Arabidopsis thaliana: one gene and its partners. The protein of the gene in region 3 purifies or fractionates together with the protein of the main gene of each other region. This does not show direct contact. Each region holds a gene or a part of one and is shown on either strand. Other genes may lie near its edges.

Region 1 (3,533 bases), on a different chromosome or scaffold from region 3:
CTCTCTCTTTAGGTCTTATGGAAAAACTCTCCTAAACCTCTTATTCTAATCTCTTAGGTCTTAGAGAACAACTTTCCATAGCCTCTTATTTATATAAATTTAGCAAATTCTATTATAAAAAGAAAAACTTATAAATCTTAACTAACTTGACATTATTTGTATTTTTCTATTTTCTATCTCTTCTAGCATCTTCTAGAAAGAGATTACTTTCTCCTCAAATAACTTAGAACTATCCAACAATCTTGCTAGAGAGTAAAAACACATCAAGCTTAGATGAAGAAGAAGAAGCAGGGGTTTGATGGAGATTTGGATTATGGTGTTGATGTAACTAGAGGTCGATCGTTTTAGTTTCGGGCAGGATTTATAATTAGTGATATATATACTTGCAATTAACTAAGTTTGATTTCTATTTCATATTTGTTAATTTGATGATCGAATACCAGATAAAATGAGAAAAAGTCACAGCATTAATAATCAATACCAAAACTAAATTAAAATGAAGCAAACCACTCATGTTATAGTTATACATCATCGTAGATGATAAGATTTATTAGAAGCTAATCTCATTAAGATTATATCATCTCAAAAGACAAACAACAAAGTTATTAAATCATTTAAAAGTCCGATATAAGGTAACACTACATCACTTTCCCGATTTCTGATTTCTCGACAAACATCTTATTCATTCATCTCCAAAACCTCCTAATCTACCCTCTTAAAACGATGAAGCTATCGGGATGTACTTCCAAACTCATACCGAAGAAACTCATTTTCAGAAATTTGCGGAAATTTTTCATGAACAATTGTTTTTAATGTTTCTTGTTATGATGGGTAATTTAGCATGCATGTTGGCATGTATTTATGTCATGGCGGCTTTATATCTGCCTTTATGTTTGGTTCATACTCTAAGGTTTGTCAAGAGATGGTTATGTTATTTGGTTTCTTATCTTTTGTGTTCTTGGTGACCACCATGTTTGGATTATGGGGATTTATTTATGTCTATCAGTTATGATAGCCTTTGTAGCTCTGATTATTACAATGATCTTTCTTTACTGCCCGTAAAAGCGTATCTAGCTAGCATCAATGTAGAAAATGGATATGGAGATGAAAATTTGAATTTAGGGCTTAGCGAAGAGTCTCGTTTGCAGTTACTATGATTGTGTTTGCAATTAACAAGGTTTGATTTTTCTTTTTCCAATTCGCATTTTTTCAAACTAAAGATATTTGAATCGATATAGATATGTTTATGTTAAATTTTTTGGGTGTGATGGTCATGCTATGGTTGTTTATAAGATTTTTTCCTTTCGATGTTTTGCGGCTGTTGATTGTGTTTTCAGTTTTCACTTATGTGAAAAGGTAGATAGAGTTTTTCATTTATGTGAAAAACATTCCATTTAAAATACCTGAAAAAAAGATTTGGATTAACTTTTAATGCCATGCTAAAACACACCAAAAAACTAAATTATTGATATACAATGTTGTGGATTATATATTGTTCCCATGATTAAATATATATGTTCTAGTCAATAGTCATACATCATGCATATATAGTAGCCTAATGTAGCTAGTTTCTAGATTTTACTACTCTCCACTGAAGATAATTTGAACCATAAACTGGAGTATTAACACATATTGCTCAATATAGCCAAGCACAATTTTTTTACTTCTTGTTTATGCAAATACAACAAATTCTTTATATTTTAGCTGTCTCATATTATTAGTCAACAAATTCATTTTAAATCAGCTTGTAAGTTGTAATCAGGTTCAGTTTTACAGCAAAATATATTGTGTTAAACTGTTAGTGCAAGCCTACTAGTATATATATTCTATACTCTGTTTCTTCACAGATATGTTTAGTTAGTTTTTTCATAATTGTATAGACCACATTAATCAGATCTGCTTTGGATCAGGCTGATATTAAAATTTTAAGCCCAATAAAAGCCCATTTACAATACAGTGGAGCGGGAACGGAGATTTTAACACCGCGCTAAAACATAAACCAATATTGACACGTCATCGATCCCGCTTCATAAGTTTATAAACCGTCGATTAAAAACAATTTCAACGGTTGCGATCTCCCATCTCATCGATCCTCGTCAACATCTAATAACCAATCATATCAATTATTCTAACTACTATAAAATCAAAACTCGTCTTCATCAAATTAGATATCAAAATCACTCAGATCTGTGCTTCTTCTTCTTCACCCAGAAAAGTAAAACAAAAGTCAAAACAATGGCGCCGAGAGCAGAGAAGAAGCCCGCGGAGAAGAAACCAGCCGCCGAGAAACCAGTAGAGGAGAAATCAAAAGCCGAGAAAGCTCCGGCGGAGAAGAAACCAAAAGCCGGCAAGAAACTCCCGAAGGAAGCCGGGGCCGGCGGCGATAAGAAGAAGAAGATGAAGAAGAAGAGTGTGGAAACTTACAAGATCTACATCTTCAAGGTTCTGAAACAAGTTCATCCAGATATTGGTATTTCAAGCAAGGCTATGGGTATTATGAACAGTTTCATCAACGACATCTTCGAGAAATTGGCATCGGAATCTTCAAAGCTCGCTAGGTATAACAAGAAGCCGACGATTACTTCTCGGGAGATTCAGACTGCTGTTAGACTCGTTCTTCCTGGTGAGCTCGCTAAACACGCTGTTTCTGAAGGAACCAAGGCTGTTACCAAATTCACAAGCTCTTGAATTAGTAAATTAGGGTTTGTATACTCTGAATTTGATTCTGATGTTGTCATAACTTGTGTTAGGATTTCTCTTTCGTTTTATTAAGCTTTAATTATCATTCTCCGTTGTAAAGTAATCTTATGAATCTGTCTTCGAATCAAAAGTTCTGGTTGTTAATGGCTCAATGTTGTTCTCTTGTTTAATCAATGTAGAATCATGAGAATCATTAGATTAAGCATTCTTTAACTATGTTCATTAATAACCTCTGTCACACATTATATATAAACCTATGAAAGATGTTTGTTTGTGTGCCACTAAATAACTTAGTTCCAGATGTGAGCATCGCAAGGATCACAACCTTCTTGAGCAATGTCAGTGATTTGAACACCGGCGTCGTAAATTTTCCCAGCTTCCCAATTGGATGGAAGAACACTCTGTGACCAAATCATTTTACCGTCGTATCCACCGGTTACTACGAACCTGAACTGGATAGCTCCGGTGGGTACTTTGTCAGTTACCCAAACAGCTCCGTGGCTTCTTGTCATGTAACCCCAATTTGGCGATGAACCGACTTGAGCAATGTCGATGGATACTACTTCTGTTTGACCTCCTTGGTATAAAAGCTTTATCTCTAAGTAGTTTGGTTTCTTGCTTGCTTCTTCTACTCTCACGTTCATGTTCTTGTTGCCGTAATCGCAAGGAACTCTGTTTTTTTTTTTGATGACCAAGTTAATATCGTGTGATTAAGAAAACCAAAGAGTTTAGGTGTTTTGAGAATCGAACCTTTGGTATTCGATGTCGACAATGCCTTGTTTGAGAAGGTCTTTGTCAGCACCAACAATAGGTTTAGCCATAGCTCTAAAAGC
Region 2 (8,242 bases), 2.5 Mb from region 3:
ATTCCTGATTCTTTCTTTTAGATATTGATAACTCTGATGATTGCCGACAAAAAAAAAAAAGTCTGATGATTACCATGAATTTGCTTAACACTCACGAAAAGAGCGAAATTTGGGTTTTACGGTTTTACCAATATTCCTGAAGGGTTACTTAACTAACACACCCTGAAGGTTATAAGTACCTAAAGTTGCAAATTTTCTGGGCAAAATGTTTTCTTTTAAACCTAGCAGATGTTGTAGTTCATCGATATGTTCCAAATCTAACTATATGATGCAAATCACACTGCCTATATGTAATTCAGCCACAACATCAGATCGACGTTAAAAAAAGAAGAGAACTCAATGCCTTAAAATACCAAATCTGATTAAGCATAATAAAGTATCAACCAACAGCGCCCACAAAAACCGACAGAATATAAAGAGTATCTCCTCAATGTTAAAGGGTCGACGAAAAACAAAAGAGGAACCAAACCCAGAGAAGAGTAAACAAAAGTTCGTTGGTTCTCCATCAAAAGCATATAAACTCAGCTATCGTGTGGACTGGACCATGTTCCATCAACAGAAGAACATGGAGGTTGAAACATTATTGTGCAGCTGCGGCATAGGTGGCACAGGGACTGCTCCAGGTGTGGTGATTCCTCCATGGCTCGAAGAAGTCTCAGACAACTCTTCATACTTCATCACAGTTCCCATCTGTGCAGCTGCCAAATGAGCGTAACATACAGGTGCAACTGCAAACAAACATAAAGAAACTTGAGAATTGAGATATTGCACATAATGTTGTAGCTATCAGCAGCAACGCATAAAAGATGTGAGACTAACCGACTGAGATCGCAGTGGTGCTCCTCTGGTAGCTACAAGAATCAAAGCAAACAATTTGAAGATTATTGTCAAAAGTGATATAATTCCACAAAGATACCTATCAGATTAAGAGTTAAAAGTGATATAATTCTTACACATAGGACAGAGAATGCACAAGTTCTTGGAGGTCGTCTGTGGCAAACCCAATCTCGTCATACAGAACATGGTAATGTGTTGGCCTTGTAGTTCCCTAACACATCCAAAATCAATATAGAAAACTGTTAAGTTGGATTTATATAGTAACTAAGTGGTCAAAGTATTTCTGCAGGAGCTATAACTTACAATCATGCCAGCATGGGCGCAGAGATAGAAATCAAAGTTGCGTGGGTGACAGATCTGGCTGTCAATGATTGTTCCTGCAGGCAAAAGCCAGGTTTCAGGTCATTTTAAACACAAAATAATGACCAACAGAAAATCATGCATTTGTCAAATGGATTTTACCTGGAGGAACATTATCAGGGCCTCGAGACTGGAAGAACTTTGTGTGGTGGTTCTTCTGGGCAACTATCACTGTAAACTTCGGATGCCACGTATCATCAAGAAACTTGCATGCCTAATAAAGTAACAAAAAAAGAGATCAGGCAGGCCCAAAGATATCCAAGATATACTAAATAAAACGTCTTTGTGTCACTAAAAGCTCTGAAGCTCTAGAACTATAATCCATACCTGCATCATCTGATCCAATTCAATATTAAGAACTTGATTGAACTGAGACTCGCTTACACCATCCCTACATGTATATTAGTAACAGTGAGTTAACAAATTGGAGTATATTATTTTACATGATACCTTAATAGATTTAAGTATACCTGAAAATAATGATGTGCTCTGGTTTCCTATTCTCTGAACTGTAGTAAAAGTCTAACAAGAGTTCCCTGTAAACAGTAGGAAATCTCTAATTACACTGATGCTGACATACCTTTTTGTACAAGTATAAAAGAATATTGTACCATTCACAAGGCCCTAAAATAGAATTAAGATGACAAAAACGCTGCCTATGAATTTTACCTGAACATTCCTTCGTCTTTGCCATTGACGGGTTTGAAGAGATTATCAATCATTTCCATTTTGCGTGATTGTGTGCGTACACATGCCTTATATTTTGAGATGAGTGGCCATTGTCTTGAGCTCACAACCTACGATTTCCAACAAACACCAAGTTACCAGAGTTGTTGCCAAGAATGAACACACAACACTAAATGAGATCACACGAAAAATTAACAAAACAAAATCAGTATTACAGCAGCAATTGATGGTATATCAGACTGGCCAGGGGAACCATGGGATACATCCATCCCAACAATGATGGTAGGAACTTGCGTTACTTTTGGCATTGCTGGTGAGCGCTCCATAGCTAACAACGAATTCAATCCACCAAGCTACATATACGAATTATAAATCATTTCAGCTGTAAGCTTGTAAGCTTGTAAAGTCTTTACAATCAGTCTTGAAATTCGAATTGAATGAATTTACAACCTCCAGCTACCTTGGCATTTATCTTCAGGAGAACATTGGTGAGATACTGATCGTTCAGTCTGGTGGGAGCAATGCACTGAGTCACAATTCCAAGATCAACAAGATTCTTTTTTTTCCAAGGGCCTAAAAAATTTCAGACACATGAAAAGTTAAACATTTACATTCAAGGGGGAAAACAGGCCATATTCAAGAATGTAAAGTGTGATGTGATGTACCATAAACATCAGAGTTTTTCCTTTCAGCGAGTATGCAAAGAAGGAACAGAGGCGGCTTTGGGAGTTTGGATTTTATCTGCTCAAACATATTCTCTACTCTCACAGTAGCTGGTGCATTCCTAAACTGAGGATTCTCGTTGATGACATCCTTGAATGGAGGCTCTACATTCTGGGATAAAAGGGAAAAACAAAAGGGACGAATTAAAAGGAGTTGTGCATATGATTCGTTTGTATAGTAACCAATGAACCTAAAGAAGGCTTACAATTCCTTTCTCCCGTCCACATTTAATCAAGTCACGAATAAGTGTATTTGTATCACAGCGAGCAGAGAAGTTCACAACAGCCCATCTAGTAACCGTCGTTGGCTCAGCGAGTGTCTGCATTAGAATTCAATCAGTACTAGTCGAGGTTACAATATTCAAACTAGGGCAAAAGATAGAAAATCTAAGCACCTTACGCATAAAGTTCCATTTTCCTTTGATTGGGGAAAGGTTTTCTCCCTTGCCCACTTTCAGCTGTAAACAAGGACAAAGATAATCAACAATAAAACATCCACAAGCAAAAAGGAAAAAATACAGCAAGGAAAGCAAGAGAATCAACGAAAGTCACCATTGGTGTTGGTAAGATACGGCCTTCAACTTGGGTAAAATTGGTGATAATGCTAACACCACTATCTTGCAATACCGGGTCGGCATTGTAATTGCTGTCCTTCAGACCCTGCAAGATAAATCAGAACATAAAACATAAGAAACAGAAAAAGCGTCAAGGATAATGGGAAGAAGAACTATGGAAACAAGAACTACTTTGGTTAGCGAGGCCATCCTTTCAGGTGGCTTCTGCCTAGACTTTTCAACTAGGGCAGCCCTCTGAAAATTGGTAAGCGATTTTGTGTATCGCTGTAGAGACACAAGATTACAGAACTGCAAACATGAAAACCAAAACGATTGTCATAATCCGTTACAAAAAAATATGTGGAAAACAGAAAAACAACAATTCATTTTATTTACCTCAATGGGGAAGTAAGTGGGACGCTTCGGCTTACCAACATTGATGCAAGGGAAGTCACCTGAATAACGCACTTCAATGTTACGCTCTTTATAGTAATTGAGCACTGTGATCTCAACCTCCTCAAATTCTCCCTTGTCGTTAGGTTTCCTCCATGTAAATCTATCAATCAAAGACCAATATCTTAGAATAAACTCAAAAGCATATAAACTTGTGATCAAAGAAATTTGACATACAGTTGATCTTTGCAGCTGTGTTCACTTAGTCCACTTATCTTGTATTCTCTATTGGAAAGAGTAATTTGAACTCTCAGATTCTTGAGGACACGTCGAGCCTGATGAGATAAAATCAGATAAAATACATCAGTGAAATAGTACAACATAAAAGAAAATGATGTACCTTGTTCCAGTCCATTCCGTATGGATCTTTCTTGTTCTGGTTAGCAAGCAGGAAATCAACTACAGGTCCAGGTTGTACTATCATCGTAGTTGAAGTGTCTGAAGAAATGCCAAAGCAAAAAAATCAAAGTTTAGCAGCCGAATGTCAAGGAAGAATCTAATACACATTAGATCTGGAAAAGAATTACCAATATTCAGGGATAAGCCTCCCTGAGTAGTTCTGAAACTTGAATGGAACCCTCTGCAACCACTGACACCTCCACCAATAGGTACAAAGTTCTTTACGTCATTGTGGAAAAAGGACTGGCGAACAAGGAGGCAACCTCTGCGAACAGATATGAGAACATGACATTAAAGATCAAGCAGAGAATTTATTTGAAATACAAATACCCAGAATATTTAACTTACTGCCTAGCTGCACTCTGGCGCAAAATAATATCCAGCACTCTCAGAGCGTCTTGAAGATTCTCTGTCTCCTTCCCTTGAAGAGCGCTTGCAATAGCCTGCATGGGGATCTTTGCAGCATAACTTATCTCAACCATGAATTTCTTAGTTTGGTTGGGACGCCTTGATCTTTTTCTATCAGCATCATTTGTATCATTTCCAGCGTGATTTCTGCAGATAAAGAGGATATCAAAGCATATTAGACTTTGAAGAAAAGGAAACAGTCGAGAAATTTCACAGGGAAAAAAAAATCAAAAGAAGTCATAATCACACCTGCTAGAAGGTATTTCTTCAAGAACAACAGAGAAGTCAAGTTTGTTGCTGGGAAGAGCACCAACAGTGAAGAGAGTCTTCTCGCCATCATAAGCAAAGTATTTGGCACCCAAATCACTTTGATAGGTCTCCTGAACTTTGTCAAGAATCTTTCGGCCGATACCTTTAGCCTCCACTGGACGGCCATCTTCATAATTGATAGCAACCTGTAGCAAATTTTAAAGAAACAAATCCATCATGTATCATAGAGATAAAACAGGAAACGCACTGATACAAATAGAGGATTATTAGAGGTCACAGTATACATACACTGTAATGAAAGAAGTAACCGCTTGGTTTGTTGAACTTGACTCCAAAGTGATTAGTAAGAAGAGGAATCTTCTGTCCTTTGGAGCCGCTGCCTCGAGGCCGAGCCATTGGGAGAAGAATGTTCTTTTTTACAGGCTCCACTTCAGGGACAAGATTTGCTGGAACGAAAGGTGGTGGAGGTGGTAATCCACTCCCATTCGGTTCATCAGAATCCATCTCTGGGATACAAATATCAGAAGGTCAGAAAAGAACAGCACCAAAATATAATCTGTTTAAAGCAATGGGAAAGCATAAACGCTACAAAGAAACCATTGTTGAAGCCAGATTTATCACAAATTTTTAGTATGAAAATAATTCTGACCCGAAAATCTAAGCCAGTAGAGCTGAGAACTATTAAATCACAGGACAAAGCAAACGTCACATAGAAAAACTCATGGAGTCAGGTGTCATCTTGATAAAAGCAAAGCGATCTTCACACAGTTACTTAAAACCATTAAATCACAGCATATAAAACATGATTCAGGAACAAACAGAAAGATGGCATAAACAAAAGCATTCACGCAAAAACACTGATCAACCCACACTTGAACAAGTACTAGAGATGAAATCTACAGATCTAAAGAACAGATTCGTCACCATCACAAACTAGACTCAGATTACTCAAAAGCAAACAAAATCATTCGCGTCATGCTTCAAAGCCGCATAAGGAAGATCTATGACAGAAAAAAAAAATGGTGAAGAAGAGATGTACGTGACATGATCATATATGACAAAAAAAAAATGGTCACCTAAAAAGCGAGAGGGAGAGAGAGAGAGAGAGATCTGTTGGATAAAGCGAATAAAAAAATGAAGGTAGAGACAAAGAACACAAAGCAGCAAAAGAAACCCAGAAGATTTTTCTCGGGAAAATGCAAACAAATTTTTTAGTAAAAAACACACGCCAACATTTATTTTTCCAGATTTCTTAACAGAGGTCAAAGAGAAGACCAAAAAAACAAAAAATCCAGAGTAGAAAAATAAACAGCGATTACTCAGAGGAAGAAGAAGACGAAAATCATGTAACAACGAACGCAGCTTCAAAGAGAAAAAAAACAGTGAGATTCAACATAAACAAACACTACCATGACCAAAAAATCCAGAGAAACTCATGAAACAACAAAAATCACTTGTTTAACACCAAACGACGACGACGAAAAATACAGATGAACACTAACAGCGCAGAAATCGCTAAAAAAAAGAGAAAAAAACCACCAAAATCGACGAAATGAACAGGAATCATGCATGAAAGCTTCAAAATCGAACATACATTGAACGATTTTTGAGTAAAAAACAAACCTAGTACTTATAGAAGAGACGAACGAGAAAAACCCTAAACAGAGCAGCGAGCGAGAGAGAAGAAGAGAGAGAGGGATTATGAGAGGAAGAAGAAAGGGTTTGTTTGTTTTGGTGATTCACTAAAATATAGGTGTGTCGCTTATAAAGAAAGCCGCAGACGCAAGACGCAAGAGGTTTTATAGGTAGGTCCCACTGTTTTCTTTCTTTTCTTAATTATTTTTTCGCTCCATATTCCTTTCTTTTCGTTTCAATGTCTTATCAATTTACTTCTCTCGTTACGTTTTTTTTATTATTGTTAGAGAATTTAGAAACAATTTGGATTTGGACAAAATAATGTTAGGTGATTCGATGTTATATGGAATCTTAAGAGTATATATAGAATCAAATCGTTTACAAGTAAATAGTATATGGAATTTCATTGTTTGGTGGATTACTAGTGCAAATATTCAGGTACTTAAACCGGTTATTCATCTTATTTGTTATGATCTGGTTCAAGTTAACACATCTATAAATTAGAATCTTGCAACAGTGAATGAGTTGTTGAATATACTAGTAACAAAAAAGCTCTTCTTCTCCACTTACTGTTTTCTACCTTTGGGATCATCTTTTTCTTCACCATTCCTATTTATGTCGTTCTTTATCAATTTTGGTGCTAAAGATGTTGTTCTTTATTATAGTATTAAATGACTGGTATATCTTTCTCCTCTTCCAGATAATTTTTTGTTCGAATTCTAACAGTTTTACAAAAACATTAGCGGAATTACTCTATGGTATAATATAGATTTGGAGGTAATAACTCTCTTAAATGAGTACCAGAACCATTGTGGATGATATCAGTTAAAACTTGAAAGTGTTAGTTTCATTTATGAATATCTTTAAGCCATGATGCATCGATGTGGCTACATGACCCAAGTCTATAAAACTGTATAACACATGCTATATGTTACAATAAACGAACTATGATATGCAATGATTATTAATTCTTGAATCAGATCCATATATTCAAATACACAAAAAGAGCTATATGAACAAATTAGTAACATGATATACTACTTAATTACGTACCTATCTTTGTATTAAGAGCAAATGTATATATCCTTTTTTTGCAACATATATGTATTACAAGTGTTCCAATAAACAATTGTGATTGTGGCAAAATGGTTTCACACATATATTATTATTAGGCATGCAGTGACAATCCTATATACATGGAAGTGAAAATGAAGAAAAATCGCAAGTTTAACGTCTTCAAATATCAACAACTTTGAAAAGAACTAAAGTATACTATAGGTTAAAAGAACTAATCACATTTTCACAATTGATAGATATAAATATCTCAGTTTGACCGTTTGACTAATTTTTTTTTTGTCATCACCTCAAATTTGATCACTGGTTTGAATTTTGAAATTAGTTATTGAAAAAGTGAAAAGATTACAAAACTATTTACCACAAAAGATAAAAGAAAACTGGTTGTACGTAATGTCTCTGTGTCCTGCAAATACCAAACGTATAAAAACAAAATAGTAAATGCTGCAGTTGTGTAGCATGAAATAACGAGGGCGAGTTTCTGAGATGTGCAGTGGATGTTTTTGTCATCTTGTATCCTTTTCTATTCCTATTCCTATGTTATTCTCTCGCTCCTTTAAATGTTTTGCAGGTCGTCGTTTTCATGTATATAATATTAACTTCTGCTTTTTCTCTTTTATTTTCTTTTTAAAATAACGTTATTATCCGTTTATAAAAGTTTCTTTACTCTTTATATACTCCTATTTCAACTCACTAGTCACAAAGACTACACCAAATTGTTCGTTATAAATTGAGTCAGTTGACAAAGCGGTCTAATTTGTCTGCGGTTTACTCCTTCTCATTTTTGGGGCAGATAATAAACCTCTGCGAACCAAGTTTATTTGTATGTAAAAACGGTCCGCA
Region 3 (6,801 bases):
ATTCTGGTGGTAGAGGAAGCTGGGCTCCTTCACGTGACAGGTAAATTAAAGATAAACGACTCAGCTAGATCTCTTGATTCTTTTTCTCATTATTAACTTTAAATCGGTTTTTGGTGGTTGAAGCAGTGGCAGCTCAGGATGGGGAAGAGAGAGAAGCCGTAGTCCTGAGAGATTCAGAGGAGGTCCACCGTCCACTTCATCTCCGCCTCGCAGCTTTCATGAGGCGATGATGATGAAAAATAGATAAGTCATTGGAATCTAAACCAGATTGGGGCAATATACATATAGAAGAGCCTCTTTCTCTTGGGGTAAATTATTCATTTTGTGGTGTGTGGACCGAAGCTGCTAGTACTTTTTAAAATCATACACACCTGAAGGATACTCTAATGTTTTGGTCTACGAGAAACCTTTTTCTGTTTATATTATGGAAAATAAAGACTCGTTTATGGGTTCTTTCTGTGTTGGTGTTTAAGTAGTGGATGTTTCTCAGCTGATAAATGTTTTAGACCTCTAAATAGGAATGACTTTTTGATATTTTGAAGTAAACAAGTTTGTTTCGTTATTAAGAACTGCAATATCAGTATATCAAAAAAAAAGTACTGCAGTTTCAGCTTACAAGTCACTGACTACTCTTAATTGACTCCTTAACCAAAGTGTCTATACAAATACCCCAAACATATTTCTCCATTAACCCTTCGCATGAAGGAAGGATCAAAGATTATATGATGACACATTTGTCTGGTTGAATACATTACTGAACATCAGTGTTAAGGCAGGGAAGAGAAAAGTGCAAATGCAGTTGCAGATATATTGTCGCAAAAAGCAAAAGAGAGTTAGGTTGACTTATATTATTCAAAAATGTACCTTCATGGCCATATTACATAACAGATATAGAAAAATAAAGTTCAACTAGATTTCATGGAGTCATATCTACTTCAATCTACTTCAGGTAATGTGAATGATCAAGATCCTCTCATCCTCGCACGTACCACCTCTAGAATACGGCAATACTCAAAGAACAACGAAGATTGATCACCTTCAAGACCAACTCGGCTTACCCTATTACCGCCTGCCAGATTGTTACAAGGACTTCCTCCAATTACAAGATCAAATCCACCATATTTCTCCATCAACCCTTCGATTGTGTCATTAGTCAAGTGTTGGATGTCTGAAAACTCGATCAATTCTCCAGTCTGGTTAGTTTGCTCCCAAAAGTCCTTCAAAATATTTCTGTTGACTTTTGAAATCTCAACAGACACAACAAGCTTCATTTTGATTTGGAGACGATGAAGTGCCACTTCCCCACCACCAATACCCGTGAAAAGAGAGAGAACATTGATTCCATGTGGGAAAATGGGCTTCAGGACAGACAGATGATACGCCACAGTATCAACCTAAAACAAGTTCAACCAACCATTAAACCAAGGTATTCAAGCCACCCACCAATGAATCAAATACGCAAAAGACTTTAACTACAAAGAGTATTATTACGCATATGATATGTAAAATTACCTGAAACGAATTTCCTAAGGACTTGAAGCGCTCAGTTCTACTCATGCCTCCACCACGAGTATGATTTTTTGGAAATCCCAGAATACTCTCCATCTCATCTGGCTCGAGTGGGGCAGCTTTGTTTTTACCCACCCAAACCAAATTCCATTTTTTGCACTGGTCAATCACATATCTTTGTACATGCTTAGGCGGTTCTGGTTCTTCATTGTAAGGCTCAAGGGCTACACGAATCCTGTTAGTCAACTGAGCACTACCTGTACAAGTCAAAATGCAATTAAGCTTGGTCCTTTTATCCCATTCTGGCCACCATCTCTTACTCAAAGGAAATGCATCATGGATGGTGTATTTTGGTGGAGGCTGAATCTGAAATCTGTTGTTGATGGGGAGATTGTGGATGTAGCCTCTCTTCCTCGCTGCAACACAGAAATATTTTGAGTCCACAAACTCAGGTGGGATCTCGAACAAGTGCCTGGAAATAGTCTCCCAAACGCCTTTAGGTGTGAGGGCGACATTCTCATAGTAGAAAAAAGGTGGCCCTCGGGCTAACTCTGGAAGCGATCTATGTGTAATGAGTCCGGGCTCGTTTGGAACCCCAAATCCTATCATTGGATTTGGTAGACGAATCGGCTCGTCATCAACAGATGATCTTGGCTCTCCTTTTGACTCAAACCGCCTTTTCTTAATATTATGTCTAGGCTGCATACACCAAATTTCCCAAAATAATCAGTTCCCAAAGGAATTAACTTACAAAAGATAGATTATAAAAAAGGTTTTAACAGTACCTTTTGTTCTTCATGTTCAGTGTAAAACTCACTAAATTCCCTAGCCATTTGAGCAGCACAAAGGAAGTCTGTGAGCTCTGCAATATCCACATTTTCTCCTGAAATTACAATCATATGAGTCTGGATAAGGCAGCAACATACTTAGAGTAAGTAAGAGATATATATTAACATCTGACAACTGTATCATTTAGTGAAATACAATCACAATGCTCAGCAAACACATTTCAAGCCTAAATCACAGAACCAGAGGCTAAAGCCACAATTTGACTATCACATTACACTAAAACTAAGCAATTTGGCTTATGCCACTTCCTCTAGAAGAAACCTGAATAAAAAGGAACTAGTGAACATACAATTTTATCAAGTACTGACAACTTTTATCATTTTGTGAAATACGATCACATTCTCTACAAACATATCTAAGGCGTACATCACAGAACCAGAAGCTAAGACAGAACTAATGACAACTTTCGATTAGTGAAATACAATCAAAATGCTCAGCAAACACATCTAAGGCCTACACCACTAAATCAGAGGCTAAACCAAGCAATTTATACGACGTTGTCTAGAAGAAACCTGAACAAAACGGAACTAAAATTTAATGACAATGGCAATCGTTTAAAATAAAGTTACCACATCTCTCGACAGCTAAAGAAGCTTCAAGCTCTGAGAAACCCATCTTCACCAAAGACCGTATTTTGCTGCCATTTTCATTTGAGTTTGGATCTTTCTGTCATGATTTAAAATAGATTAAGAACGCATAAAATTAGATACATATACAAAATAGCAGTGAGATACATTTACAATTCAAACCTGGGATGCTTAAATATGTTATCACCAACATGAAAGAGTTATACCTCATCATCTGAGTTTAACATATCGGTGTAATTGGTATCATCATCACTTGATGACCAGTCAATGCCATCTTCTTCCTCTACTGCTGCTGGCAGTTTCTTAGCCTCCTACAAACCATCAACGAACTTTAAGTACTATTTTTTTAATGTCAAGAGACAGTATATTTTCGTAACATCGCTTACTGGACAAGAGAGCAATGCATTTGCAATTGCTTCCATATTGTCTTCTCCTGCGATTTATAAAGCAAATATCAGCAAAGTGATAAAGTGTTACTTCTTACTTAAGGAGGAGAGAAATCTGTAAGTACCATGTTCTTGAATGGCTTTGACAACTTTTTCTTCATCAAATCCCATAGCAAGGAAATGATCAATAGCCTTGGACTTGGAAGAACCAGCTTCACAGTCGCTCTTCACAAATAAACAAAGGAGAGGATATGAATACTGTGATGACAGAAGCACATGTAAATGACAAGCAACCCAAGAGATCAAAGTATTAGAAACTCACTGAGTATTTGGAGATAGTATCAATTATAACCGAAGTTTCTACATTTGGTCCTGTATAATTATTGGTATCAAGTTACGGATCATATATATCCAGAAAGGAATACAAACAAGAGAAAAAAGCCTCACCAGTTTCCTTGATCGCTCTAGAAATCATCTCAACAGGAAATCCCATGTCAAACAATGTAGCAAAAACCTCGTCTGAGAAGCCCATCTGAACTAAATCAGTTGTCTCAGTAGGAGAGCTCAAAGAACTAGTTGTCTGAAACAAAACAAAAATTCACATAAGCAATGATTCTGCTTAGGCATAAACTTATGACTGTTGGATTGGATCACTTACCACGGCTACACCAGCTAGATTTTCGACCCTACACTGCATTGCATGTATTGGAGATGACCGTGGAGAAGATTGAAAGTTATCAATCTCCAAAAAATCATCATCATCGTTATTCCAAATCACCATGAGTAATACCCAGAGAATTTTTAGTTTGAGCTACAGATTAAGCAGAAGCGCTCCCGCCGCCGGCAAAGATACTGTCGCCGTTGGTGAGAGAGCTTGTATCGTCGTCAGTTTACTGGAGGAGGAAACCGTGAAACAAAAAGTCGGATGATTCTAAAAAAGAAAAAAACAAATTCAGAGTATTGCAATTTAGTCCCTATTCTTTGTACTACTTCAATAATTAAACTACAATGTTTTTAATTAACTAAATCAATAAACATGAATAAATGACACGTTACGTGACACTTGTGGTGCTTAGAGGCAATTTGCGAAACTAATTTTTATAGTCAATGATAATTCATGTTTAGAGGATATTACCAATTACCGTATTTCGTTTGAGGAAGTGAAATTGGTTAAACTTAAACAAGAAACTCTCGTAAATGACACTTTTACACAGAACATAGGCTTTTTTAAAAATAAGTTTGGCTAAGCTTTGAAGCATGAGCTTTGGATGCATGCAATGACACGTGACGAGCGAGAAGTTTATTTTATAATTTAGTATCCAACATAACTGTAGCGACCGGCGAGTCAAAGACCGTCACATACATTACACTAATCATTGTATGTAATAAAGTACAAAGGTTGTGATAAGACAATAAACAACAAAGATACATGAAAGATGAAAGCTAATGATAATCCTGAGAAGCTATCTCCATTACTTAGAAACGATAAGCATATTATATGCATGTGTACATACACACACACACACATATATATAGAGAGAGAGGAAGAGATTTAGAGAGCGAGGAAGGAACATTGTTTTCGGGCGTGGTCAGGTATAAGCTTGGACAACAACTCTAAACTTGCTCCTTTTAGCTCTACATATTTAACAAGAAGCACACACTTTTAGTCTTTGTTAAAACGGAGCATTGGGAAACAAACAAAAGCATATTTGGAGGAGACAGACCTTGAGGTTTAAAGTTGAAGAGAGGAGGCAAGGCACGACCATTAGGAAGACGTGTATTGGGATCACGTAGCTCATCGAAGAACGGGTGAACTATCGCCTCCATCTACAATAACAAGTAAGTTTGAATCAACCAACCAGATATATCAAACATAATGTTATTATGGTAATCACTTCATTGACTTACAGCGGTTGATCTGAGGTTTGGAGAATACTGGAGAAGTCTTGAGACAAGGTCTACAGCTTCTGGAGGTGTACGCTTATGGAATATCTTAAGAACCAACAACAGATTTTTCAATCGTAAGAATATATGGAGATCAATGTTAAGGAAAAACTGATGATGTGTTTGCTTACTTTGTGCCAAGGATGAGCCTTTATTTGCGGGAATTTGAATTCTGTGTAGTTTGGATTCATGCATTTGATTTCCTCCCGTGTTGGTGTTCCAAGAACCTGTAACACACACAGTAAACAAAATGATGGCAATCAATAGCAGGAAATGGAGCCTCTTCATTCCATATAATCAATGATCCACTCTATGTTCAATATAGCAATGGCTAGGATTATGTGTGTTTGTTTAACCAAATTGAAGTACCTTTATTATCTCAACTAGCTGGTCAACTCCACTCTCACCTGGAAATAGAGGCTAACCAAAAGTTGGACAAGCCAAAGATTGGTAATATATAACTTTAGACATCATTCGGTAAATCAAATCATTTGTAAAAGATAAATGGAGGAAAGTTTGGACAGTCATATTACCTGTCCCAGAAGCAATTCAGCAAGAACACAGCCTGCAGACCATATGTCAATTGTTGTTGTATATTCTGTAGCTCCAAATATAAGTTCAGGTGCTCGATAGTAACGGGAGCAGATGTATGAGATGTTTGGCTCGCCTTTAACCTGTTACAGAGGGGCAAAGCTAAAATAGTTAGGACTAGTTAACATTGCATAGCACCATAAAAAGTGCAAACTTTTCAATATGAAAACAAATCAACATGTCTCTTTACAAATGCTATACCAGAACTTTTGCGCTACCAAAATCGCATAGTTTGACCTGATGCGTATGAGGATTAACCTACGAGAAGCACAAGATTGATCAAGCAGAAGCATGTAGACCAATAAAATGTTATGAATAAAATCAACTAAGGATACGAACCAGAAGATTCTGTGGTTTTATGTCTCTGTGGCAGACTCCTACTCCACCATGAATATAAGCCAAAGCTCTGCAAATCTGCACCCACAACAGAAGGAAGAAATCATGGAAACAATGTTGATTAACTCATTGTATTTCAAAAGATGAGAACAGATGTTCTGGTGGGCTGAATAATAACTACCTGATAAGTATAGAGTTTAACATATATAATGGGCATCCTCTGGTTTGCCCGACTATAGTGCTTTGAGACGCGATAGACAGTCTCAGGAACGTATTCAAGGACCAGATTGAGATAGAGCTCATCTTTTTCAGTCGTTGAGAAAAAACAATGCTTGAGGGATACAACATTAGGGTGATCAAGAAGACGCATTGTCTGCAGCTCCCGATTCTTGTATCTCTTGTCTTGCAAAACTTTCTTGATTGCAACAGTTTCCCCCGTTTCTAAACACTTGGCCTGCATATATACAAGTAACAAAATTATCTACATTGAGTCAATGCACCGGCTACTTAGTAAAATCAATTATTCAGGGTAGTTAATCGAAACATCACCTGAAAAACGATTCCAAAAGAACCTTGTCCAACGATGCGCTCTGCCATAT
Region 4 (5,595 bases), 3.7 Mb from region 3:
GGTCCTCTGTTTTGACGCATGTCAAATACTAAAACCATTCCATTCTGTAGTCCAGCATAAACATTGTGATAGTTGTTGAGATCCCAAGAACAAGACAAGGTGCAGCTGGTAGACGAACAACGCCACCGTTGGTCCAAACTTCCATACAGATCGAACATAATGATTCTTTATCCTCCTGCAATCCTGAAGACGATGATGAACAAACACTTTCTGATGACCTTCTTTGATACTCACTCTCGTTCTGTGAAACCCTAGGTGAGTCTACCACATCGATGTATTGGCTAATTTGGCGTTCTTCTTCCTCATCAGGTTCATCGAATACTTCCATTGTTATTCCGACATTACCACAGACGAAACGCCGTAGTCGCTGCATTAAGGCAAAACCCAAAACTTAGCTTCTTACAAAACAGAGCAATCTGTATATAAAGAGCAAAGCAGCTTAAAAAGTAAGCTCGATTAAAAGAAAACTAATACTTGCGTTTCCTTTTTTTCTTCAACATGAAAACCGCAAAAAAGGAAACTCTACATGAAAACCAATTAGTATTATGATTCTTGGTGTGATTTGGTTAATTCACAATCAGAGAAATACGAAGCGGAAGTTGGAAACCTTTGGAAGACAGCAAAAGTGGAAGGAACACAACAAGTTTATTAATTTTAACAAAATAGAGGGGAAATGCAGGCTGTGGGGTTCGAACCCACGCGCACTTATGTGCAGAAGAACTTAAGTCTTCCCCCTTAACCACTCGGGCAAACCTGCTTGTTATTATTTTTCTCTTCCTATTATATTTATATACGCAAACTGGTGTAGTAGCTGCATATTAACCACAAGCCCTAAAAATCCTTAATTTCGGGTCCATTAGATTATGTTACAAAGTGACATGCTAACTAATCTTCAATCAATGTATGTTTTGGACAGAGAATTTCAAATGTAGATTTTCACTAGAAAAGTCTACAAAAAGACTTAATATCCATACCACTAAACACAAACAAAGGTTTAGCACAGTTTCAGCTACCAAAACGATAAAGTTAAACAGGAAGAAATGCCTGAAAAAAAAGACCAACTAAAACTGGCTCACTCGCAAGTTCCAGATTTAAGTACCAAAAGACATCAAAGTTCTAGAGTAGATATTATAGAGAGTAGTCATCATGCTGCTTCTTCTTCTCAAGCAGCTGCACTGTGTTTGGCCTTTGTGTGAGACTGCAATCCCATTTCCGAAGTAAAGGTTCTGGTGCACGACTTGCACCCAAACGCTCCTGCAGACTTCGGTGTCTGCTGCTGCTTCGATGTCTCTCCAGTGCTGCCTCCACCAGAATTCTTACCCGCCTGTTTTGAGGGATGAGGAGTTGCAACATGGACATGCGGTTTCTTCGAATCTGCTTTGTCCGAATGTTTTTTAATTAAACAAATCAATCTTCCTTTCTATCGTTAAAATAAGTATTCAATGGGGAGATTGGTAAAAAGGATTTAATCACCTGTTTTCTGAGGAGTTACAAACTTAGCCTTCTTGTTGGACGCAGGGTTCTTGGAGGAGTTGGGTTCTGCAGACCTCTTCTTGGGTTCTTCAGGCTTTTATAAACCAAGAAAACTTAGAATCAGATTCGAGCTTGACCACAGAAGCAGAGAAATTGCTCCCAAAGGAAGATAAGATAGAACAAATATAGGTTTCCCATCAACAAGCACATAAAAGAGACTGTCATGTTACCTTCTTTGGGGTTTCCTCTTCTGAGGAGTCATCTTCTTCGTCGTCTGATGAGTCATCTTCCTCACTGTCAGATTCAGCAGTAACCTTCTCTTCCTGAAACAAAGCAGCCATGATAAGGATTAAAGAAATGTGAGAATGGGCTAAAACACAATAGGTAATCAAGGGTTCATGTGAAAATGCAAATATAGAAGTTACAAACATACTTAAGATAACTCTAGTACCACTGTCTATAGGTTTAATCAACATGTCACTGAGCCTAAGTAAAATTCTATAACAAATTGAGCTAGTATATATAGATAAAAGTACCTCCTCGTCTCCAGAGTTTTCACTATCATCATCATCTGAAGAATCTTCTTCACTACCGTCAGCGTCATCATCTTGCTTGGCTTTGACATCTTCATTTGGCAACTGAAAGTTCACCTGTTTCGCAGCAGATTTCGGAGCAGCTGGCTCAACCAAGGCCAAATAAATTTATAAGAGATTGATGTTCTTAAATAAACTAAAATAAGACAACTGGAGACAAATCATTGCAGGACTGGATATAAAAGTCCCCATTTACCTTTGAAACCAGCAGCCTCAAGTTGATCATCAATCAAATCCTCAGGCTCGGTGAGATAGAGTCAAGGAAGTCAAAAACAGAGTAAAGCAACAAGTCCCCAAAACATTTTCATCAACAAAGCTTAAAGCGATAACAACAAAAATGTTCAAATAGTAAAGGATATGGATCAGATGCATCAACTTTGTAACCAGAGAAGAAAACGCTCCCATTCTTCCAAGTATGAGACAGCGCAAAGTTCCTTTCCAAGACAATCTCCGTAGACAGCTGAGGAAACTTCTCATGAGATAGCGTTCCAATGAGAAGCTTATCCGATCCAACAGTCACGTAAAGCTGGATTGGTTCGGTTACATTGTTCTTACTCTCTCCCAAAGCAACCTTCAACAAAAATAAACCAAACGTCACTGTAAAATACATTCTTATAAATCAAATTAAGCTTGCAAATTCAAAAGTACCTGAGAGATGTGCACGAGCCTGTCTAGCCCAGGATCTAGGTGAAGTGGTTTGCCATTCTTAACTTCAACACCTGCAAACGCATAGAAAGCATACAAATCAGTAATTCTGCAACAAAATCCCCAAATGAAACCTCTATCGGAGTTAAAACCTAGCGAGAGAGAAAACTTTTCAGTTTTCCCCAATTTTCTACGAAGACGAACAGTCCATACCCTAGATTGTCACATATACTCACTATTCCCGTTTCTCGTTTAGCTAAACAGAAGATTCCATAGAAAAAACAGTAGAAAAACATGGCAAAACGAAAAAAAGCGATGAAACCAGAAGCTAAAAAAAAACTAAATGCAGGAAATGAAGCGCAGAGAACGAAGAAGAAGAAGGAGTAAGATAGGAGATGTTTTTTACCCCAGAACTCCATTGTTGTGCGAGGTAGTGTGATCTTGAAGGCGACGATGCGTCGAAGGAGAAGGAGAAGGTTCTAGAAGAAGCTGAGAGCGATTCGTCTCTCGAGAGCGGTTTTAGGGCGTGTTGATGTGAGAAGGCTAAAATGTCCGCTGGAATTTATTAATCGGAGGAAGGGATTTTAGGGATCCTCTGTTACGCGGTCCACTCGAATATCTCCTTTAGTTGGGCCATGATTTTAAAATTAGCCCAACAAAACTAACGTTTCAAGCCCATACTTTATTTTGACGGCTTTTTTTAACGGTGTCAGGACGGATCGTAACGGACTTTTAACACTTTATTTGACTGACGGAGTTTTCGTCAACATGTGGGGTCTATATATTCATGTCTTCATGACAATATCTATCTCCATTCCTCAAAATAAGTCCCACGGATAAATTGAGCATAATGTATCGCAAAGTTTTAATTTTTTTCTAATCCAAAGAAAAACCAGTTAACAAAATCTGTGAAGAGTTTATATGATAAAACTAAGTACGGTCCCCGACTACGAATAATTAAAATTATTAAATGGATAGTTGCACGAGTGAGAATTAAGGAACACTATTATTATATTAAACACAATTCATTTTAGTTAGATCTATTCGGGGCCTCTCGTGTTTAGATTTAGAAGAGTTCTCGGCATGAATCATGAACATTTTCCAATGCTCTTAAATTTATAGTTTACCAATATTATACTCCGGTTTTACATATCACACATAATTTCGATTTTTTTCAACATATGTGATCATAATCAATTGTTAAGTTTTAATTTATGCGCATAAAAAAATATATGTTTGTATAGTAGTTAAGGAGAATTTTTTTTTGTTATGTTTTAGCACTTTTTGGATTAATACTAGTTTTAAAAGTATGATTTTTTTTTTATTTTTTTTTGTGCACAAATATGATCAAACCCAAAAGTTTCTTTACATAGTAGCAACTTTATATTCTCAGCAGCCATGGCTAAAAAACGTAAGTTAATGACAAAAATGCGTTGAGTGCAATGAACCTGGCAGTATTCGATGAACCTTAGCGGATCAAATGATATAAATATGCAATAGAATTTAAATATTTATTTATTGTCCAAGCTGCGTGGATAGCTTGATAGATAAATTAATGACAGCACATTGACTACCCAAGCTGCGTTGATAAGTACTTGATCAAAATCTTTACATTTTTATGAAGTACTATAATCCAAAGTTAACTTTTAAGCAAAAGATAATTTTTTGTAATGGTTGTGAAAAATTCACTTATAATAACACGAAACATAATGAAGTATTATTAGTTCATTTATATATAATACACAAAAAACATAAAGGCAATAAAAATAACCAAATTAAAAAAAAATGGAGAAGTAGAAAAGAAAACGAAAAAAAAAAAAAAAGAGAGAGATAAGATGCATGCATGGTATAGAAGTCGCAGGCCGAAGACCAGAAATACGAATGTGTTTGAATAGACAAATTAAGGAATATAAAGACAGAAGAGCCCATCCATTTTCGCATACACGAATACATCCCCCTCGACTCCAATTATTTTATTATAGTCCATTCTCTCACTTTCTATTCTAAATATTGTGGACGTTATAAAGGCTTTTTATTTATTTTATGTCGAGTTTTTTAGACTACGTAGAGCCGAATGAAAATTTCATGTTTAGGTATACGAAACTTGGATCCAATGTTACGGATTCAGATTGGTGTAAAAGATCAAATTTGATAGTATTTGGATTTGATAGGCAAGATGGTTTAGTATTTTACACTGTGTATGTTCCTCTTTTAGCTTTGCGTTTTCTACTTTCACTACGATACTACTTTTTATCTTCCAATTTCAGTTGCTTATCACCAAAATATGAAATACCAAATTAATTGTTTAAACAGTTTTATTAGCGATTAAATTAGCACAAAACATATGAATAGATATCATAGTCGAATACAAAAATTAGACAAATAATAATACACTAAAAAACAAACTAAATTGGAGAATTGTTTTGACAAAAAATAAAAAAAATGTCAAAGTTCCATAAAAAGGAGGACAAAAGAGGAATATAACGAAATTATCAACAGAAACGCACCGAGTAAGTTTATTTCCTATGATAACGCAAAAACAAAAAAAAAATCCAATTCCATTAGAGAGAGAGAGAGAGAGAGAGAGAGAGAGAGACTTTTTTAAAAAGTACAAAAAAAAAATGAAAAACTAGAGAGAGAAACAAGTGGCTAGCTAGCTCGCCAAACTTCTTCAACAATGGCGGTTTCCTAGGGTTTGATGTTTATATGATCGGGAAACTCTCTCATCTAGATCGCGATAACTCTCTTTTCCATGGAAATGCCCGGTAGAAGATCTAATTACACTTTGCTTAGTCAATTTTCTGACGATCAGGTGTCAGTTTCCGTCACCGGAGCTCCTCCGCCTCACTATGATTCCTTGTCGAGCGAAAACAGGAGCAACCAT

What was found.
Region 1: the proteins of DRM2 (region 3) and HTB9 purify together in Arabidopsis thaliana (affinity purification with mass spectrometry, with the first as the bait; one study listed by BioGRID). This does not show direct contact.
Region 2: the proteins of DRM2 (region 3) and AGO9 purify together in Arabidopsis thaliana (affinity purification with mass spectrometry, with the first as the bait; one study listed by BioGRID). This does not show direct contact.
Region 4: the proteins of DRM2 (region 3) and HD2C purify together in Arabidopsis thaliana (affinity purification with mass spectrometry, with the first as the bait; one study listed by BioGRID). This does not show direct contact.

What each region holds. Positions count from the first base shown.
Region 1 is NC_003074.8:16,896,647-16,900,179, reverse strand, and holds HTB9 (Histone superfamily protein), read left to right. Parts: upstream 1-2,166; 5' UTR 2,167-2,235; coding exon 2,236-2,688; 3' UTR 2,689-2,893; downstream 2,894-3,533. Other genes in the region: EXLA1 (expansin-like A1), read right to left, coding at 2,991-3,372, 3,451-3,533. UniProt on the Arabidopsis thaliana protein: Core component of nucleosome. Nucleosomes wrap and compact DNA into chromatin, limiting DNA accessibility to the cellular machineries which require DNA as a template.
Region 2 is NC_003076.8:7,190,424-7,198,665, reverse strand, and holds AGO9 (Argonaute family protein), read right to left. Parts: upstream 6,428-8,242; 5' UTR 6,314-6,427; intron 5,197-6,313; 5' UTR 5,195-5,196; coding exon 4,979-5,194; intron 4,876-4,978; coding exon 4,670-4,875; intron 4,568-4,669; coding exon 4,361-4,567; intron 4,278-4,360; coding exon 4,141-4,277; intron 4,052-4,140; coding exon 3,954-4,051; intron 3,889-3,953; coding exon 3,791-3,888; intron 3,717-3,790; coding exon 3,557-3,716; intron 3,470-3,556; coding exon 3,353-3,469; intron 3,267-3,352; coding exon 3,159-3,266; intron 3,065-3,158; coding exon 3,002-3,064; intron 2,927-3,001; coding exon 2,813-2,926; intron 2,719-2,812; coding exon 2,550-2,718; intron 2,458-2,549; coding exon 2,345-2,457; intron 2,238-2,344; coding exon 2,100-2,237; intron 1,995-2,099; coding exon 1,867-1,994; intron 1,734-1,866; coding exon 1,668-1,733; intron 1,589-1,667; coding exon 1,525-1,588; intron 1,412-1,524; coding exon 1,300-1,411; intron 1,215-1,299; and 9 more. UniProt on the Arabidopsis thaliana protein: Involved in RNA-mediated post-transcriptional gene silencing (PTGS). Main component of the RNA-induced silencing complex (RISC) that binds to a short guide RNA such as a microRNA (miRNA) or small interfering RNA (siRNA).
Region 3 is NC_003076.8:4,714,467-4,721,267, forward strand, and holds DRM2 (domains rearranged methyltransferase 2), read right to left. Parts: upstream 4,239-6,801; 5' UTR 4,113-4,238; coding exon 3,990-4,112; intron 3,912-3,989; coding exon 3,779-3,911; intron 3,704-3,778; coding exon 3,654-3,703; intron 3,557-3,653; coding exon 3,457-3,556; intron 3,379-3,456; coding exon 3,332-3,378; intron 3,257-3,331; coding exon 3,152-3,256; intron 3,025-3,151; coding exon 2,928-3,024; intron 2,393-2,927; coding exon 2,295-2,392; intron 2,209-2,294; coding exon 1,513-2,208; intron 1,395-1,512; coding exon 963-1,394; 3' UTR 639-962; downstream 1-638. Other genes in the region: AT5G14610 (DEAD box RNA helicase family protein), read left to right, coding at 1-40, 127-247; SK13 (shaggy-like kinase 13), read right to left, coding at 4,884-4,966, 5,056-5,158, 5,240-5,323, 5,407-5,502, 5,645-5,695, 5,809-5,949, 6,068-6,124, 6,206-6,280 and 2 more. UniProt on the Arabidopsis thaliana protein: Involved in de novo DNA methylation. Controls asymmetric and CpNpG methylation. Required for FWA gene silencing but not for the maintenance of SUP gene silencing. Functionally redundant to CMT3 to maintain non-CpG methylation.
Region 4 is NC_003076.8:979,529-985,123, reverse strand, and holds HD2C (histone deacetylase 2C), read right to left. Parts: upstream 3,266-5,595; 5' UTR 3,131-3,265; coding exon 3,118-3,130; intron 2,786-3,117; coding exon 2,715-2,785; intron 2,638-2,714; coding exon 2,426-2,637; intron 2,313-2,425; coding exon 2,263-2,312; intron 2,150-2,262; coding exon 2,010-2,149; intron 1,797-2,009; coding exon 1,704-1,796; intron 1,568-1,703; coding exon 1,474-1,567; intron 1,375-1,473; coding exon 1,163-1,374; 3' UTR 835-1,162; downstream 1-834. Other genes in the region: AT5G03750 (E3 ubiquitin-protein ligase), read right to left, coding at 1-105, 219-328; CTR1 (Protein kinase superfamily protein), read left to right, coding at 5,464-5,595. UniProt on the Arabidopsis thaliana protein: Probably mediates the deacetylation of lysine residues on the N-terminal part of the core histones (H2A, H2B, H3 and H4).